4 linked regions of the Drosophila melanogaster genome follow. The protein of the gene in region 1 interacts with the protein of each later gene in a pairwise test. Each region holds a gene or a part of one and is shown on either strand. Other genes may lie near its edges.

Region 1 (6,574 bases):
GTGTTTCTGTGCGACTCGTTGCTCTTTTGGCCGCATTCAAATATGGAATGCAGCTTCCAGCCGGACTTGAAATTCCATAGATGAGCCTCAAAGGTCAAAGGCACGCAAGCCAGGAGATGCAGAAAATTGATTGATTCAAGCCGTGTCGCTTCCTAAGATGCTAGTCGAGATCCTCAACTTCCAGACACCAGCTACAGCAAGATCGAAAGTTGACTGAAATAATATGTAAGGCCTTTGCCATTTGTTGTAGACGGCCAAAATCCTTTTGGAATAAACATAGAAACTTTCAATAATAATAATAAAAACCAAAATTATTAAATTAATATTAATATATTCAAAAGTGTGGGAGCAGCTTTGTGGGATAGTGGACGTGCTCACTCTTAGTTAAGGGAATGTGTTCTTTTTATCATTCGTTCTCATAAACTTTCTCTAACTCTTACGTAAGCTCGCAGACTTACGAAATCTTAAAAATAAGCGAAAATAATACTTGCTGCAAATTGTTTCATGATTAAAAAGTCCGAAAAACTAATATCCAGTGTTGGGTTGTAGTCACAAATAATATTTATTATTCATTTCATTTTTTCACTTGCGTATTTTGATTTGCATTTCAGTTGTACACTTCAGATTTTGCACTTTTGTTGGAAAAGACAAATGGCAACTAAATGCATTAAGCTTATTAATTTTACAAGCATGGCCACAATGAGTTGTATTGTACTTGAGCTGTTATAGATTCACTCCGGGACAATCTGTTGCTCTGGCAAGACTAAGCATACAAAAATATTTCAGGTTTCAATCGTGTTATGCCTATTATTTTATAAATTATTGCATCGAAATTCGTTCTTAAACTAATTTCCTTTAATAGGGAAATTATTATGACAACACTAACTCATACATTCTTCAAATTATACTTTTTGGTAGCAGCAAAATTGGGATTAAGGGTAGTAATTCATTAAAATGACCTGTACTACAAAGTATATATCTTTGGGATAAATTATTTGGTTGGGTTTCGTTCTGCAACTTTGGGTTACTAAACACTAAACTAAATGGCAAGAACTAGTTCTACAAATCCTTCTTCTATGGCACACTCGCATTTGGCGTTGGCTATCAACTCCTGGATTCTACTTCTGTTTCATATACATGGTAGCAATTTTCTCAAGAATCGTGTCTATAGACAACAATTCGTCGCTGAATTTCTGCATAGTGGGGGCTGGCACAATCCACTTAAGAAATTCCTCCACATTTAGCCGGAGTCTGGCCAATGGGGTCATCGTGGCGTCGTCATGGGATTGTCGCTGAGCCAGCTTCAAGGATGCAATGATAACGTTATCGATTAGACGCTTCTCGTAGCCCAACTGGCGCAGCTTTTGAGCGGAGCTAATTTTCTTCAGTACCACTGCCATGTTAAATCTTAAGACAGAGAGAATTTGCGCATCTTCAGACTGATTGCCACTGGGTTTGTCCCCGTCAACTGGACACTTGGCGCAGTGCTCAACATGCGACTGCAGCTCCACCTTGATCTTAAAGAAATCGTGGCAGCCTTCGCACATGTAGGGCTTTTGCTGTTTGTGTATCTTCTTCATGTGGTTCTTTAGGTGCGCCAGCTGAGAAAAGGCTACTTCGTCTTCGCACAGCTGGCAGCGAAAGGGTTTTTCCCCCGTATGCTTTCGGATGTGCAGTTTTAGTACGCTTGAATGGGCAAAGGTCTGGTGGCAGATCTGATGGAAGTAGAAACATAATTTACGGCTGCATGCAAGCTAACACCCTTTCAACTTACCCTACACTGATAGGGGCGCTCTCCCGTGTGCATTCGCATATGGACATTGTACTGGCTTTTCTGGGTGAAATATGTGTTGCACACCTCGCAGACGTGGGTCTTAACAGCGGTGTGCCTCTGCATGTGAGTGGCCAAATCCTCGTCCGGCTCGATCATCTTATGGCATATCTCGCACTCAAATTGCGTCAGCTTGTGGTGCTCCTGGTTTATGTGCGCTCGCAGGGCCAGCTCGTTGGCGAATTGGTTCTCACAGATGCTGCACCGGTGCTCCATGCCCTGCTCGTGTCGCTCCATGTGCACCCGTAAATTGGCGTTGGTTGAGAAGCTGGCCGAGCACTTAGTGCAGTTGAACTGCTGGATACTCGTCTTGTGGTGAGAAACCATGTGCTGTTGCAGCTGCAATATAAATGATAATATATATTAGGAACACCAATGGTTAAGACCTATAAAAACAAAAGCCTAATAGAAAGTTCATTATTAAATACACTTATTTATATTTAATTATTATAATAAATATTATTATTTAAGTTTATAATAAATCAAATTATGAGAAAAATATAAAATTAATTGTTAAATCTCAGTTAAAAATGGAATGTCGTATTACTCACTTGACCTCCTCGGGCGAATTTTTTGTCGCAGAGGTCGCAAGGATAGGGCTTCTCGCCAGAGTGGAGGCGCATGTGGAGCCGCAGGCGCTCCTTGAGGGCGAATGATTTTGGGCACTGGGAACAAACGAACTGTTTCCGATGCTCGTGGGCGGTGGTGATATGATTTTTCAGGTTGACCGCCTGGCGGTAGCTCTTGCCACAATCCTTGCACTTGTGCGGTCGTTCGTCCGAGTGGATAAGCATGTGGCGCTGCAGATCCGTCTTGCCACCGAACTCTTTGGAGCATTGACTGCAGACATGGTGCTTGCGTTTCACCGGTTCGCCCTTTCGGGCAGACTTCTTAAGCTGCGGTTGCACGTAATCATCATCCTTTGAGTCCTGCTCTCCGCCGTCGTCCTCCTCCTCGTCCACACAAGCATCGCGCAGACTTGCCAAGCTGCTCTTCCTCCTTTTGATCGCAAGCGTAGGGCCTGGTGAGGATTCCCTCGCCGCCGGCGGCGAAGACAGCGATATGCCGCTGTCTGTGAGCAGAGAGACGGCATCCTCCTTGGACACACTACGACGGCTGCGTACCATTTGTTTGGTTTTTATTATTTGGATTCGTAACTAAATTTCTGGGGACCGCTTCCTGGGAAACACCGGCACCTGCTGCGTTTGTCTTTACTTCTAGGGTTAATGTTCTACGTATGTAATTTAGGGTATTCGTATTTTTTGGTTCGATTGCTACTTCTAGGATAGTTCCCATTCACCTTTGGTTTGGATTAGTTCAGATGGGCTGCAAAAAAAGTTAAGAGCTGTTTTAATTCTCCACTCGCCGAGCGCCACGTTCCGAAGCAGACGGAGAATCAAAAACACAGACAGAAATAGTAACCGCAAGTGAAGCCGAAACAGAAACAAGAAGAGAAACAGCAACGGAACAGAAACTCCAGCTGTGTCAACAGTGATAAGACCTATGCACAGGAAAAATATTACCAAAATTGGTGGATTTGCATATTTAGGGGCTTCGAAAAGCATGGCACTTTTTACGTTAATGCAATAGTTCTTACTATTTTTGCAGTGTTGTCGAAATCACTTGAGATTTTTAGACGTTGTTTATCATAATTAATTAATTAATTGCAATTCATTGGCTATCCAATTAGAAAATATATTCGTTTCTTTACAAATCTAGTTAACAACGGAAGGTTGTGGACTGTTTTTCACGGTGTACAGAGCTAGGAGCCCAAGTCTTGAAGTGGGTCGCATTATCAATTGACATTTCCAGCGAACGTAAGCTTCCAAAAAAAATTCTTAGTTTGTTGTCTTAATCTTTTGTTTGGGCGGGAGCGAGATGGAGAAACCGCCTGATAAGATCCCGAGGAAGGCAACAACTGATAAGCAATCCACCGCTTTCACTAAAATCACGGTAGAGCTATAAAAAGATATCGAGATAAAGCTGTGCAACCTGAGCGTTTTCGATCCCGCGGCGTCTGTTCTCCGAGGCGGCGGAGTTTCCAATGAAAAGCGAGAACACTGAAAATGCAACTGCAAGAGAGCGATTACGATGACCCTGGGCTGGGACGAACATCTGGCAAGCAGATTGGGAACCCTCCGATTCCGATTCCAGTGCCAAGCAACCCCCTCCCCCTGCGGAGGGTTAATGGTTCATTAGAGCCGCACCCGCAGAAGCTGAAAACTAACTCACTTTAGCAGCACAACGGCCCTCGACCAAACTGTTGAAAAAGCGAATTTAAGCTAGAATCCGCAGCTGGGAATCGAAATTGAAAGAGAACAGGGCAAAAAGCACGAACGACAGCGAAAATCACACACAAAAAGCGAAAATAAAGAAGTGAATACATAACAGCAGTTTTGTAATGCTAAATAGGCGGGGTTATGGGGGTGGGTAAGGGTTAAGGCGGCGGCGGTCGCTGGATGAGGGTAGGGGCCGTTGAAGTCTTTCGTATTCGGGGCACAAAACTCGACGACTGTGTAGTTTTCGGGGTCTTGCAACCGATTGTTAGTAATTAATGAACCAGCACCACAGCACTCATATACGTAAAGCAATCCATTATACACATATGCTACACATTTGGCCCAGGGGCTCCACATTCAACACCAACACCAAAGCCCCACCGGGCGTGGACTTACCTTCGCAAAAAGCAGGAGTCGCTAGGCTAAGGGCCTTCGATCCACAGGAAACTTAGCATCACCCCGAATGGGACACACCTGGACTTCCTATGCATTCCGCGTCCGACTATGAGTTCGCTTCTTATTTGTTTTTAATTTCGACACCACGAGCTGTGTGTACATACTTTTTGCAATCCGCTAGGTGGCAGTCCGACTGGCTCCTCAAGGTGTATCCATCGTGCTGCCTGCGGCTTAACCTTTGTGGGACTTTGCGGGTTTGCCGATTCTAAGCCAATACTGCGTTTTGTCCAGCAAAATAAATAACAGTTTTCGGTGGTTTTTCGATGTTGTTCTTAATGTTAGTGATGTGTATTCACCGATAGACGGTCACACTGGGACTCTCTGTCTGCGCGGCCACAGATGGGAGCGTGATGCACAGTCACTAGTTAGAGAAAATCCAATAACGTGTAGGTTGCGGCGCAATAAGTTATAAATAAGTTAAAAATCACATTGCGCAGTATCACTGCAATATTTATTGAAATTTCAGTAAGAACAAAGTGAGGCACACTTTGTTGAACGTGACTTCTTTTACACACTGAAATCACAGCCTGCTGAACGTGACCACTTTGCTCACTGAAATCGCAGACGTGTGGCAACACTCAAGCCGCCAGAAAGATCTGGCATCTCTCATACTTAACACGCGCATGCAAAATATTTAAGAAATAAATATTAGTCGCTAACAGTTTAAATATAATAAAATTCTGCTGATATAAACCCAGTTCATAAAAGAACACGCATTTACCTCCGCATATAAGATCAAATACGTATAAAATCTAATTAGCCGACTCAAGGTAAGGCGTGCGTTTTTGGAGCTCCACTAAACTGACTTCAAAGCAATAACTCATCAAATACTACATTTCAGTTAAAATGGCTGGAGTACTCTTTGAGGACATCTTCAACGTAAAGGACATGGATCCGGAGGGCAAAAAGTTCGACCGTGTATCCCGCCTGCACTGCGAGTCCGAGTCGTTTAAGATGGACCTCATCCTGGACATCAACTCGTGGCTATACCCCATGGAGCTGGGCGACAAGTTCCGCCTGGTTTTGGCCACCACCCTGCGCGAGGATGGTTGCCCGGACAGCGGGGAGTACAATCCAATGGAGCACGAGGGAACGCGGGCGGACAGCTTTGAGTACGTGATGTACGGCAAGATCTACAGGATCGAGGGCGACGAAGCACACAATGAGGCCTCCCGGCTCTCCGCCTACGTGTCATTCGGCGGCTTGCTGATGCGACTTCAGGGTGACGCCAACAATCTTCATGGCTTCGAGGTGGACCAGCACATGTACCTGCTGATGAAGCGGCTGGCCTTCTGAATTTTCTACCTAATTATTTTCGATCGCAAATTAGACATAGACAACAAACTTTATTTACAGTGTATTCATGACATTGCTTGGAGTGCTGAAAGAAGTAGTCTATTGCCTGGATGGGCGTCTGAAAGGCGCATTGACTATCAGGCGAGATGGCCGTGGGCGAAAAGGAATGTGGCGATCCACGAAGGGCAAAGCCTGCGGAGTCGATGGGAACACTGGAGTAGGCCTAATAGCATTCACAATCTTGACCGCATCTGGCCGACGACGAACCGTAAGCTTAGCCGGCCGTCGCTGCGGAGTCCGCAGAACCGGACGCTGCGGGCGGAAGGCAGAAAGTCGGTTCAGAAGCGGCAGAACATACTGAGCCTGGGGTGGTAGCGGCAGACTTGCCAAATTAATTATAGCTGCGCTTTGTGGCAATGTGTTGGAGCTGTCATCATTGGCTGGCTGGTCTGGAGGTCCGTAGGTCTGATCGGGAGGTCCATAAATTTGGTCCGGTGGGCCGTAGACCTCAGCTGGCGCTTCCACCAAAGACGGTGGTCCGTATGTTTCAGGTGGAGGGCCATATGTATCCTCCGGTTGAGGAAATTCAACCGCCTCCTCCGTTGGCAGGTCGAATGGCGGATCGGGGACCAGGCCTGCTGGTGGATATGGGGCTTGTTCCTGTCTTTGCAGAAACCTTCCCGCCGCGGGTCCTGGGAACCTCAGATGACTG
Region 2 (4,681 bases), on another chromosome or scaffold:
ACGTCCTATTAAAGTTGTAGTTTGGAAAGTTTTGGTTTTGCATTAGAAATCGCCACTCAACTTGGTTTTTTCTAAAATTATTTAGGTCCGTTTTGCATATTTTAGGTGTTTTACAAAATCTGTGTAACATACTTAATATATTTTTAGAAAACTAACACCTAAGTGTACGGAATCAAAAAAAAAAAGACAAATATGTGATATTTAAGCAAATTTGCCATAATCTCAAAATAGGAAAAAGTCTGTTATGCTTATATTTGAGTGTTTTAAAAAATTAGAAAACCCAATTTTAATTATTTTTAGAAAAGACAAAATGTGATATTTATGCTTGTTTTTGTTTGTTTTACAAAATTGGCATAACCGTCTTTTACCTATTTTTAGAAAACTAACACCGAAGTGTACAAATTCAAAATGTGATATTTTTTTCACATTTGCCATAATCTCCTTAAAATAGTAAAGGCTGTTATGCTTATTTTTGTGTTTTTTACAAAACTGGCATTCCCGTCTTACTTATTTTCAGAAAACTTACACCAAAGTGCACAGATTGAAAAAAAAAACACAAAAATGTGATATTTCATCACTCATCAACTCAAAATAGTAAATCGAAGGGCAAAAAAATATGGTATTCTGTTTGCTATTATAAAAGTTCACGAGCTAAGCTAACGATTCATTAAAATATGTACATACATATTTAAGTGTTAAAAAAAAATGTGTATCTCGCGAATTCCTTCGATTTCCTCGCGTTGCCGCCATTTTGAATATTCTCTCTCCCGAAAGTTGTAGAGTAGAGCAAAAACTTTGGATGTTTTGAGAGTTCGAAGTTCATACTGTCATCCCGCTCTAAACCTCTGCATTCCATTGTGTCCCGTTTTGTGATTTTTCCTTTTCGGGATCTTCTTTGCGTTCTTTGCCCCCGGCATTCAAATTCCGAGAGTCGTCGCGAGTGGTCGTTTGAAACGTATTACCCGACATCGTTCTAGCCAACAATTTTCTGCTGCGGATGGGGGCAGTACTGTTTTTTTAACATTGAGTATTGCACTTTTCACAGCCCGAAAATGTTAGCAACTGCCTTATACTAACAATTAGCATTTTTAAATTATTAGAAATGTGAATTAAGTTTGAAGCGATTTGGTTCGTCACAAGGGCAATTCTGCATTTTTTAACTAGTATTGCACTTGAGACGGCCTGATTACTTTAAAACGAATCATTTTATGAGCAAAGTAATTAGTTTTGTTGTGTTTTTAAACTCCTTGCAATAGGCGGCAAGACGGTGAAAAATCGAAATTTCTAGATCATTTTTCGGACGGTATATGGGTTAATATTTCATTTGTCGAATATATTGCACATTCACCGGCCTGAAAATATCAAGAATTAACATCGAAAAGTGAAAAAAAAGTGTTTGCGAAAACATAAACATTTGCAGGGCGGGTCGTGTGTCAGTGTATTTATATCTTAGCTATATTGCACACTTCCCGGCCTTTAAATGTCCAATGTTTCAACATTTAAATCTGTGAAATCGTAAAATTATAAAAATCCAGTTGCGCTTTTCTCGGAAATCCGCAATCCGTTAGGTGTGAGCGAGATGACAGCTGTTGCGGTTCTTCCCCATTCCTCTTTCGCTTCGTCACAGACTTGCCAGATCGGCAAATTGTGTGCAAAGAGGAACGGGGAACTTGGTTAATTTCTTTTGCAAGTGGCAAGTGTTTAATTATTACAATTTGTGCTTAACTTAATATTGGCCGATGCTTGAGCTAAATATTCCCGTACAACTGGTGCAACAAAGTAATAATAAGGCATTTTGAGTTGAATTTAGCAAATTAAATTAGTGCGCTCGGCTGGTTGCCTTTATTTTGCACGTCATTTACCGTTTTTCAAGAGGGCCAGTAGTGTATGGCCAGTAAGTATGCACAAATAAATGTTTCTAATCCGTTTAATGATGGGATGGCCATTGGTTTGGAAAACTAACAAGTAGGAGAATCATGAATAATGCCCAAGCACGCGCGAAATCAAGAGGTGTGAAATTGGGTTCACGGGCTGCGCCTTGGGCTCTGGAAAATGCAGTAGATGACCAGCTGAAGAACGGTTTTAGTTTTGGCGGAAGTGTAAGTGTACCGTTAGTACATATAGCGAAATATATAGGGAAAATATCCATAACAGCTGCTGCATTTAGCTCATTTTAAACTATTACTTCCCTGTTCTCATCTGTGGCCGTTGAGAACGAACCGGCAGTTCGTGCTGACAGCGAGCGCAATTACATAAATGTTTGTTTTGACAACAATAGCGAGTGCAACAAAAACAACAACAGCAAACGCAACAAAAAAGCCGGAGACGAGATTGCATAATTGCTTGTAAGATTTTGCTCCCACAATTTCTCAGTTTTTGTCATGGGACAAAAAAAAAAATTATACAAACTTACCGGCTGATTGTTATCTCCGGCAGAGAGCGGAAAAGAGCGGTAGTGAGAGCGATCCTTTTACCGTATTTTACAGCCTCTCGGTTAAGCTAACTTGCTAAAGTCGCTCTCTTTTTCGCCGTGCGACAGAGATGCTCCGTGCGAGAGAGCGACTTACAGTGGGTCATTTTAATTGTGCTCTGCTTATCTAAATGTATTCAAGTATATCCATAAATTGTAATGTAGCACTTTCGTAATTGCCGGCTTTATTTATGCACTGTGAACAGCCAGGGGCTAGATGGCGCCTTAGCATTTTTCCCCACTGTCCACGCTCTAATGCCTAAGAGCGTTGGTTCACTAGCTAGTTTATAGCTAACTTTTGAAAACTCCGTTTGTTAAATAATTATTCAACACTATCTTATTCAAAATTCTTAAAATATTTTCTAAGGATTTTTTTTTTTACCAATGAAAGCATAATATAATAAAAATGCATATAGATTTATGTTGCAATAATTCGGATAAAACGGCACACTTATCTTCTTATATACATACGTACTTATTACATTTCTTTTGGGTAATTAACCAATTGGTTAACATTGAGTGCTTTCACTATAGTTTTGCACTCTCTGCCATATAAGAACGACTTCTGCTCTGAAACTGAGTCAGCATCTCTATACGCCGGCTCTCGATTCCCGAGGTAATGAAGTTGCAGCCGAGCTGAGCCTCAGTTGCCTGGCGACTAGCGAACAGCTTGGACGTGTGGTGTGCTCTTCGGTGTGGTTTCGAGTCTCGAGTTCCGAGTTTTCCCCATATTGCAGCCGTCAAGTAAGACCCGCTCCGAGTTTTGTGTGAATTTGTGTGATATGTGTGTGGTTCGCGGCTCGTTTCGTTTTTTATTTGCCGTTGTCATTGGTTTTTGATTTGTTGAGCGGTCGCCGCAAGCCACTTGACGGGCATTCTCTTCTGGCTTTGTTTCATAATAACTCGCTGTGTGTGTTTGCGATGCGGTACATATATATGTTATGGTACCTACATATATGAATTGTGTCTGTGAAAACGTCAAAAAGGCCAGGCCAAGAATACAAATAACAAATAAAATGTTGGCCCGCTTGTGGAGCATGTGCCGTTGCTTCGGCTTCGGTTCGTTCGAAATGCTTGTAATAATATGCCGTTTGTCTTTCCGTTTCTACCCCGACCAATTAGATCCGGAAATTTTGGAAAATGCTGCTCTCAATGCAAATGTGGCGCTCTCTGTGGCTGGCGGCCCTATTCTGCGGATTAGCCCAGGCCAAAGGTAAGCACTTTTTCTATCTATATACTATACGCAAAAATTTAAATATAAATATCAGAGTTAAGATCGGGGAGTGCAAGGCTAAAAAGCTTGAGAAGCTCCCATAGCGCTGCCATGATGTCATTCGCGTAATGAAACACAATAAGTATTTATTTTTTCTTTTCGATTTTGTTGAAAAACCGACAAAGTGACCTCGTTTTTGGTCGTGAAGTGCACATACACACACAATTTGTGGCCATTTGGAGTGATGGTCGAATAAAACGATCTTCGGTTTTGTCGGGGGCGTGCTGGAGCTTTTTTTTTGGTAAAAAAACGAATGACTGAGGCAACGAACTTGCGGCGACTTAATGAAGTTTGGCAGCGCGGCCCTGTCATGATTCACTCACTCGTTCTTACGCTTCCTGCCATATATTAATGCTAAATTGTATAAGGCATATATCCCTCGAAAGCCCTAACACATTAGTCATTAACTTGCCTGCCCCTGCAAGTTGCCTTTAACAGCCAAGACAACAAACGACTAAACAAACTATCAAGCGAGCGCGGCGAAAAAACAAAAGACCAAACAAGACACCTACACAAACACAAGTGCTGGGAAGGCAACATGACACGCCAAAACAAAAAAAAATAAGATATTACAAAGAAATAAAAAACAAAGCACAGTCCAGCCAACAAGATAATATCGACGAGAAAAATACTTAAACAAAGCGAAAAAAAGGGGCAGTACTCATAATAAAGCCCACACTCAACTGGTCAAGAATCGGCTGGGGTTGTCTTATTAAAAGGCAATCAGAAAGGAGAATTAACTGCAAAAAAATATTACGCGAGAAAAAATGAAGAATTAAAGGCGAAATACAGCCAAAACGGGCGACAATCGACGACTTGTGTAGGCGAACTGGTCCCGGGAATTAAGATGCAGCCTAAAAATACATAAGGCCGATACGAAAACATCTCTCTCGCGGGCTACAAACAAACAAATAAATATATATATATGTACATATATA
Region 3 (4,385 bases), on another chromosome or scaffold:
CTGGCGTATGGGATTTTGCTCGGATATATCTGTATCTGTATCTGGTTCGGTTTTAGCTTTTGTTTCTCCCGCCGCCTTCGTAGTGGGTTTCTTTGGCTTTTGGCTCGTTTCGTTGGGGTTCGTTTTGGGTTTCGTCGTCGCTGGCACTTTGGCTTCATTCTGCTTCAGCTTCTTGGGACTCTGCAGTGCCAGCAAGTCCTTCCTCAGTTGTCCTATATTACGTTCTTTGGTCTTTATTTCCTCTAACTGGAATAATAAGTAGCAGAGATTGGTTAGATTCATACTAAACATATGGAGTTTAGAGATATATGAGCAATACGTGTTCATCCACCTGTAAAACTGTTCAATAATCAACCAGAATTGGTCTAATATTTATACAAGCCCATGTTGGTGGCTCAATTCAGCGTTATTAAATGTTTATACCATTAATGGGAATACACAACTTGTTGTGTATGTTTTTAATGAGAACAAATGGTAGGTAACTATATCCCATTAGTTTGGTGTAAGTGCAAAAAGAAATGTTTATATGTATATGGTCTTACTGATTGAAACTAAACTCTAGTAATAACATCACGAAAAATGAAAATGTTTATACGAATATATGACCAGTAAATCAAAATGATATAAGGCTTATAATATGGGTACTTTATAGCAGCTAGTTGAATATGACCTGTTTTCTTGCTGTGCAAATTCAAAATGCATGTATGAATTTCAATGGTGGTATGAAAAGTTGCCCGTCCGCTTCTGAACCGCCGGGTTTCGTTCCGTAACGCTTCCCCCCCCCCCCCCCCATTCACAACCACTTCTTTTGAGCCAACTTTTGGTGACCCGTTAGCAGCCGCTACGCACAACTTACCAAACGTGTTATTTCAATTTTGGCTGATTTCTGTATGTGAGTCAATCGGTTTTCGTACGCGTTCTTCAATTGCCGCATATCGGCAGCCTTGAGTCTATCAGCCTGCCCCATAATCTGCAAGAAATGGTCGAATCATACATGTTTGCGTGTTGCCAACTTTTTGGATACGGGGCTCCAAGCAGCGGGAGATACCAGAAGCAAGTTAATCCATGCTGTTAGTTTGCACTTTGCGATTAGGTCGCGTACGTCCATTAACCAAACGAGACACAAAAACACACAAAAAATGCTACATAAAGAACGGGAAAGGAAAGTTCTTGCCACAGTCGAAGAATCGCATACCCTTCATAAAAAAAAATTAAAAAAAACGAAAATTTTACAAATAGCAAACACCTAAAGACTTTCACTTTATTGAGTTATATGCCTACTTAAAATTCATCGCACAATCTTGGGAACTATAGAGGGTTACTAAAACCTGAAATTAAAACAGTATGGAAAAGAATATTTCTGTGTTAATTAGGTAATGCAATCTGTAGGCAGTAACTCGCAATGTTCCTTTTACAGGGTATAAAAGTGCAGAAGATATAGCATAATATTTGCTTAACGCCCTTTGCCGATATGGCAAGCATTAGGGAAATTGCTATATCGAAATTGGCTCTGGGTATAAAAACAATGGTGTCATCCCTCTGCTCAAACAGTTGGCATTGCAATGTCCATCCAGTGGCTAAAACACATTCTGCTCCTGGCAATCCTGGTCAATTTGGCCGGGACACGGGAGAATCACATTCCGTTAGATTTGAAGAAAAGTTCGATCGTGATGGTCAAGATGAGTCAGATCCTCTGCAAGGCTCGGATTAAGGTCCTGTTCGTCTACTTCGAGAATCAAACCTCCCACGAGCATACGGGTCAAATACTCAAAGAGGTGACCAAGTGCGACATATCGTACATATCTCTCAGGCAAGTTGATCATTTAATCCCATAACAATACTGATAACATATAATAACCACAAATATTCGAATATTTTACTTTCAGGAATCAAAATACACCACTGGAGGCGGTCAAGGATGATGGCATACTAATGTACATGGTGATGATCACCACAAACATATCACAACCATTGGAGCTTTCACTTATCCGGAAGAAATCGGCTGCCAAGCATCGATCGCATGTTTTTCTCTTGGTCAGAGATGCGGATACCGTTTCCGATGCTTGGATGCGGGCCAGTTTCCGGCAATTCTGGAAGATATGGCTACTGAACATCGTGATCCTCTACTGGCGAGATGGACGACTGAATGCCTATCGGTACAACCCGTTTATGGACAACTATTTGATACCAGTGGACAATAAACCAAACGAGGTTCCAACTTTAGAGCAGCTTTTCCCAAAGACCATACCCAATATGCAGAGGAAGCCGCTGAGAATGTGCATCTACAAGGACGATGTGAGGGCAATCTTCTGGAGACAGGGAACTATCTTGGGGACCGATGGCCTGCTGGCGGCCTATGTGGCTGAGCGACTGAACGCGACCATGATGATAACGCGTCCGCACTCGTATAACAACCACAATCTCAGCTCGGACATATGTTTCCTTGAGGTGGCCAAGGAGTACGTGGATGTGGCCATGAACATTCGTTTCTTGGTTCCGGATACCTTCAGGAAACAGGCGGAAAGCACGGTATCCCACACGCGTGATGATCTTTGCGTGATTGTGCCGAAAGCCAAGACTGCTCCCACTTTCTGGAACATATTTCGCTCATTTGGCTCATTAGTTTGGGCCCTAATTCTGGTTTCTGTTCTGGTGGCGAATGTCTTCTGCTACATCCTGAAATCTGAAGTGGGTAGGGTTCCCATGCAACTTTTCGCCGGAGCCCTAACTATGCCCATGACCCAGATTCCGCCAAACCACTCGATCCGATTGTTTCTGATCTTCTGGCTTTACTTTGGACTACTTATATGCTCGGCATTCAAGGGAAATCTGACCAGCATGATGGTGTTCCAGCCTTATCTACCCGATATAAACCAATTGGGTGCGTTGGCTAGGTCCCACTACCACATCATCATTCGTCCAAGGCACGTAAAACATATCCAACACTTCCTAACCCTGGGACACAAGCACGAGTCCAGAATTCGGGAACAAATGCTGGAAGTTTCCGACACCCAGATGTACGAAATGATGAGGAACAATGACATAAGGTATGCGTGTACGTGGATTAATTGCTGTAATTCCATAAAATCTACTTTCGCAGATTTGCCTATTTGGAGAAGTATCACATCGCCCGTTTCCAGGTGAACAGCCGTGTGCACATGCACCTGGGTCGTCCGCTTTTCCACCTGATGAACAGCTGCCTGGTGCCGTTTCACGCCGTTTATATCGTCCCCTACGGTTCACCCTACTTGGGTTTCCTGGACTCACTGATCCGGAGTTCGCATGAGTTTGGATTCGAGCGATACTGGGATCGCATCATGAACTCCGCCTTTATTAAGTCTGGAGTAAAGGTGGTAAACCGTCGACGCGGGAGTGGCAATGATGAACCGGTGGTCCTCAAACTGCAGCATTTCCACGCCGTATTCGCTCTGTGGCTGGTGGGGATCGGGATGGCATGCATTGTGCTGGCCTGGGAGCACTTGACCCACAACTACAATTTGGCGGTAACAAAGCGGCGGGACTAACTATCGCATGCAGCATGCAATGTGAGGCGGATGATTGTGTTGATGTGGCGTCCACTTACCTGGGTCTTCTCCTCCTTGTTTCGATTCGCTTCCTTCAGCACGGCAATCTCGTTAGTCAGTCTTTGGATTTCATAGTTGATGAGGCCATCGGCGGTCACATGTGCACCACTCGATTCTGGGCCCGATTCGATGGCCTTCTTTATACCGTTGCTCTTCTTGGCCATTTCCAGCGTATGCTGCAACTTCTTCACTTCACTCTTCCACCGACGACTATCTGCGTCATTCTGAGCCCTGGGTTGAAATAAAAAAGCGATAGATTGCATTTTTTAATGTCTCTTTAAATTCAAAAGATCAGATCGAAATGGGTTTTAATATCAAACGTGTGACTATTCTATCATATTTTATATCTAGATGAAACCAGAAATATTTAAATGTAATCTTGAACAAACTGATTGCATGTATATTTATTTCCGAGTTTACTGATTGCCAATCGTCACTTTCATGAAAGGTCAAATATGTTTTCAGTGCACGAATACTTTTAAAACGAATGTATTTGTATTTGATAACTCAATTTAAAAAGTTTCACAACATTATGCAATATAAAATGGTGCGATTAAGGTAAAATGAAATGGGCTTATCACGTTCCTTATTGGTATATATGTATATTAATGGACTTACCTTAAGGCTCTCACTGCACCGCGTTCTGTGATCAGACTGGACTTCAGTTCATTTACCTCCAGACGCAGTTGCTCCGTGAGGGCATTTAGCTTCTGGATGGTGTCCATGTTCTCCTGCAGTTTTCTCTTGATCCTTTGTGGAGGTGCTGCTATCACATTTGTGGTAGTCACGCCACCAATTATT
Region 4 (3,680 bases), about 22 Mb from region 1:
CTCAACAAACCCTATTCTCACACCATCACACGACTTTTTTATTACGTCCCCTTTTAAATTATGCTCTGTGAATGGGAATGATTAAAATAATAACAAAAAAGGAAATCAAGCGACGAAATAATATACTGAGTTGACAATACGTTTAAGAGGCCATTTTAAAATAAAAGTTTACCAGGACAGAGAGAGTAGAGTGCCTCGACTACAAGATACCTCTCACTCAGGTGATAATCGGGGTGGCAACTCACTGAAACAAACTGCGACAGCATACGCTGCGGAAGGAAAATGCACAATAAATGGAAATAGAAAAGTTTAATTGAAACTCATTCAAAAAAAAAAAAAAAACAATCAAAGCATGCTAAGGATCTCTATATCTGAAACAGATGCTCTCTACAAAATAGTTGCAGTGAAAAATGGCAAGAGAGTGGGCAAAGAAAAGCGCAGAAGGAGAAAGGCTTCATGATGAAGGATGCTTGTTGTTTGCTGCAGTTAAATTAAATGAAAAAGTTTAAAACTTTTTTAATGAAACCATTTTATTCAGTAGAGGCATAAACAAAAAAACAGTCCCCATTCCGTTGTAACAATAGCACAAAAAAGATGCAAGACAAAGGAAAACAAAAGTCTGAGCGGAAGAAAAACTTGATGCAACTTGCATGGTCTGAAAGGAATCAAAAAAAAAAAAAAAAAAAAAAGAATAAAATGTCCCAATAAAAATCAAAATATGTATGAGACTTAAAGGGGGTGGCCTATGCTTGCTTTCAACTTTGTAAATTAAATTGCCCGTTATTTGATTTAAAATGGGCGGCGCAGTCTTTTTGAGCTTAAGTGACGTATGCGTAATCTGAATGGGGAGCTAATCGAAAAGCCACCTTGATACGGACGATAAAACCCATAGGCTCTGGCTATGGGTGTTCGCTTCTAATGCAACTGTCGCTTTCAGGGACTCGCAAGCAATTGGTAATTACGCCAAAAATTAAACAGGGACGTAATCAAGAAAACATCAAGGATAAAAGCTTAAGCTTGGACCAAACAAGGTGCTTATTATTTAATTAAGTAAATTCAAATAAATTAAATTAAATAAATAAATAAATTTAAATTTGTATATCCCTATATCGACATATTCAATTTCTTTGCTAAACATTGTTCTCTACATTTTTGTCTTTCATTGCACACAACTTTGCAGGTACATTTTGCGTACATATTGTGCATTCCTATTATGCCATTCAATGCACCAGTTTGATATTAAAACAGCAACTTGTGTCGCTGGGCCAGTTATCAAATACATACCCTTTCTTTCCTGGCTTACAGGTTGTAATCTGTTAGAATTCACGTCTTAACTACCGGTAGTACGATGAAACGACCCTGCTGCGAGATAAACATTATGCCAAATTAAAATGCATTCTGTAGTTTCTATAATTAATGCGAACGCATGCCGTCGAGTGGTGCGCTTTGAAACGTAATCCACCGGATCCAGCCACAAGAAATCACTGAGTCAATAAAAGCGTGAAATAAGAGAGATGAGATTGTAGAAGGAATGAAGTTAACGGCGCAACAGCTATCATGATGGCAGAAGAACAATAAATCGTATATGAAAAGATCTAATAACGAGGGAAACGGAAACGGAAGTTATTGAAGTGCTAAAAAAAATGGCGAACTGAAATAATAAAAGTAGTTGTTGTGTGCAGTAAACTGAGATTTTACTGGCTCTAAGGTGTGGAGTTTTATGTTTACGTTTGTCGATCACATGATAAATCTACTACAACAATTTGTATTTGATTTATATATCAAAATTTGGTTTATTAAAGTATTTCATAATTATGTAAACTAATACCCCTGCATCGCTTAATACAATTTATCCCTAACATCCGAAGCAATGTCTGATGTGGAGCAAGAAGCCTCTGGAGACGTTGATAATGAGCAAAATGAAGGACAAGAAGCTGCTGAAGATTTTGAGGGAGAGGGCGAAGGAGACGAACAGGACGTTGAAGAGGAAGATAAGTTCGAGGTGGAGGAGAAGGATCCCTTTGAGCTCCTCAATGAGAGCGATGAAGACGATGAAGAGCAACAGGCAATGTACAAGGAGTATCAGGAGGTGGTCAACGCTATTGATGCGCAGAACAGGATTATAAAAGAGCTCAAGGCAAAGTCCAATCGACTGATGTTCAAGAAGTGCAAGACTTATAGAGACAAGCAGGAATACAAACAACTTAGGGTCTGTCAGGAGCATGAGGAGATCCATTTAAAGGTTCTCGTGAATAGAGCCATGCACCTCCAAAACTTCGGTTCACCTAGGCGCTACAGAGATATAGAAATGGAAGTCACAGAGGACGAGAAGAGCTACTTTTATACTGAACTACAATCGACCTTATCAGGCTTTTGTCCCACGGATTCGGCTGACGAATATGAGTCGGATTCTGAATCGGATAATGGACTATGTTGTACCTAGTTTCCTAGCGGAGTTTCCGAAAATTGACGGGGAAAAGTTATGAAAATACTTGAATAATTGTGGAATATCTTCATATTTTACATATATACATATCTACACATATCAACGACACTGCACTCAATAAAATGGGAAAGGATGGAGGGAATGTGAATAAAAAATGCAAGAAAATTTCAATAAAATGCAAGTAAATGCAAAATTTAATTTAATCCCTCGATTTCTAAAATATCTGCCTAGCACTTCTTTTAGCTGGGTTTAATAGTCAAGAGTCCAGACGTGGAGTAGCCAAATAGCGGGAAAGTGTAGAGCAATAGCAATAAGCGCAAAAACAAGACGATTGTGCCCCCAGACAGAATAAGGGGATCAAAGCAAAACAGCCATAAACAAATAACCGAAGAGGCACAGAAAGACGCCAGTAGACGAGAATGAATCGAAACGAACTGAATTGAACCAAAACTTCTCTCGATGATTTCTTCGTTCCCTCCTCCTTCTTTTATTATGCCTCAATTCTCACTCTCCGCCAAGTGCCACGCCCATTGTGGCGCTTGATGGGGAACACTTCGCAAAAACGAGATAGTTTGACGTTTTCTACACAACTGGTCACTGTTTAAATTTTATTTACATTTAGAAAGATTTGGAGAAAAGTGAAATGTAAATTATTTCGATTAAAAGATAATTTATGTGGACTTGCAACTTAGAAATTTATGGTTTAACCCTAAGGTGGAAAATTCAAAAGCGCGATTTTAGAAGGGGAATGTTGTCGGCGCCAAATTCGCCAACCCAATGTGCAGAAGCAGCGGCTTCGACCGCGTTGCGACGTCACCTTGCGTCCATTCACCCCGTTCATCATTGTTTATGAGTGTGTGCCCAGACACAAAAACAAGCACACATTAACGTATACAGCAAAATTCCTTTAACTGTGCTTCGATTCCATTCCATTTTCCATCTGGTTCTGTTTCTGTTTTTTGGACCTCTGCCTTGGGTCTTCTGTTCATGTCTCTTCGCCCCCCCCCCCCCCCCCCACCCAATTCTCCAACCCTACTGCGTTCTCCCGCTTGTTGTTATTGCACTGTCTGCGGCTTGGGTATTTTTTACGCGCCTGTGCTCCATTCCACGTTCCCAGTCTCCCCGTCTCGTTCCAACAACCTTGGTATATATCTTCGCCGCCCAAAAAAAGTGTGCGAAAAATACTCTAGGAAGATTCAGAATCGCGGAGTCGGATCTAGGAGAGTCGTAATTA

Evidence for each region.
Region 2: the proteins of CG11247 (region 1) and qsm interact in a two-hybrid assay, tested with the Drosophila melanogaster proteins (one large-scale study listed by BioGRID).
Region 3: the proteins of CG11247 (region 1) and Ir85a interact in a two-hybrid assay, tested with the Drosophila melanogaster proteins (one large-scale study listed by BioGRID).
Region 4: the proteins of CG11247 (region 1) and CG13405 interact in a two-hybrid assay, tested with the Drosophila melanogaster proteins (one large-scale study listed by BioGRID).

The regions. Positions count from the first base shown.
Region 1 is NT_037436.4:21,723,781-21,730,354, forward strand, and holds CG11247 (uncharacterized protein), read right to left. Parts: upstream 5,027-6,574; 5' UTR 4,671-5,026; exon of another isoform or gene 4,613-4,670; 5' UTR 4,507-4,612; intron 3,158-4,506; 5' UTR 2,959-3,157; coding exon 2,383-2,958; intron 2,171-2,382; coding exon 1,775-2,170; intron 1,716-1,774; coding exon 1,119-1,715; 3' UTR 546-1,118; downstream 1-545. Other genes in the region: Polr2H (RNA polymerase II, I and III subunit H), read left to right, coding at 5,413-5,862; CG14570 (uncharacterized protein), read right to left, coding at 5,962-6,574.
Region 2 is NT_033778.4:20,580,563-20,585,243, reverse strand, and holds the start of qsm (quasimodo), read left to right. Parts: upstream 1-1,652; 5' UTR 1,653-1,894; intron 1,895-3,111; exon of another isoform or gene 3,112-3,214; intron 3,215-3,592; 5' UTR 3,593-3,610; coding exon 3,611-3,683; intron 3,684-4,681.
Region 3 is NT_033777.3:8,793,122-8,797,506, forward strand, and holds Ir85a (ionotropic receptor 85a), read left to right. Parts: upstream 1-1,562; coding exon 1,563-1,795; intron 1,796-1,886; coding exon 1,887-3,047; intron 3,048-3,100; coding exon 3,101-3,524; 3' UTR 3,525-3,583; coding exon of another isoform or gene 3,584-3,815; 3' UTR 3,816-3,845; downstream 3,846-4,385. Other genes in the region: Pif1A (PFTAIRE-interacting factor 1A), read right to left, coding at 1-246, 857-970, 3,584-3,815, 4,203-4,385.
Region 4 is NT_037436.4:73,401-77,080, reverse strand, and holds CG13405 (uncharacterized protein), read left to right. Parts: upstream 1-1,748; 5' UTR 1,749-1,870; coding exon 1,871-2,443; 3' UTR 2,444-2,627; intron 2,628-2,689; 3' UTR 2,690-3,136; downstream 3,137-3,680.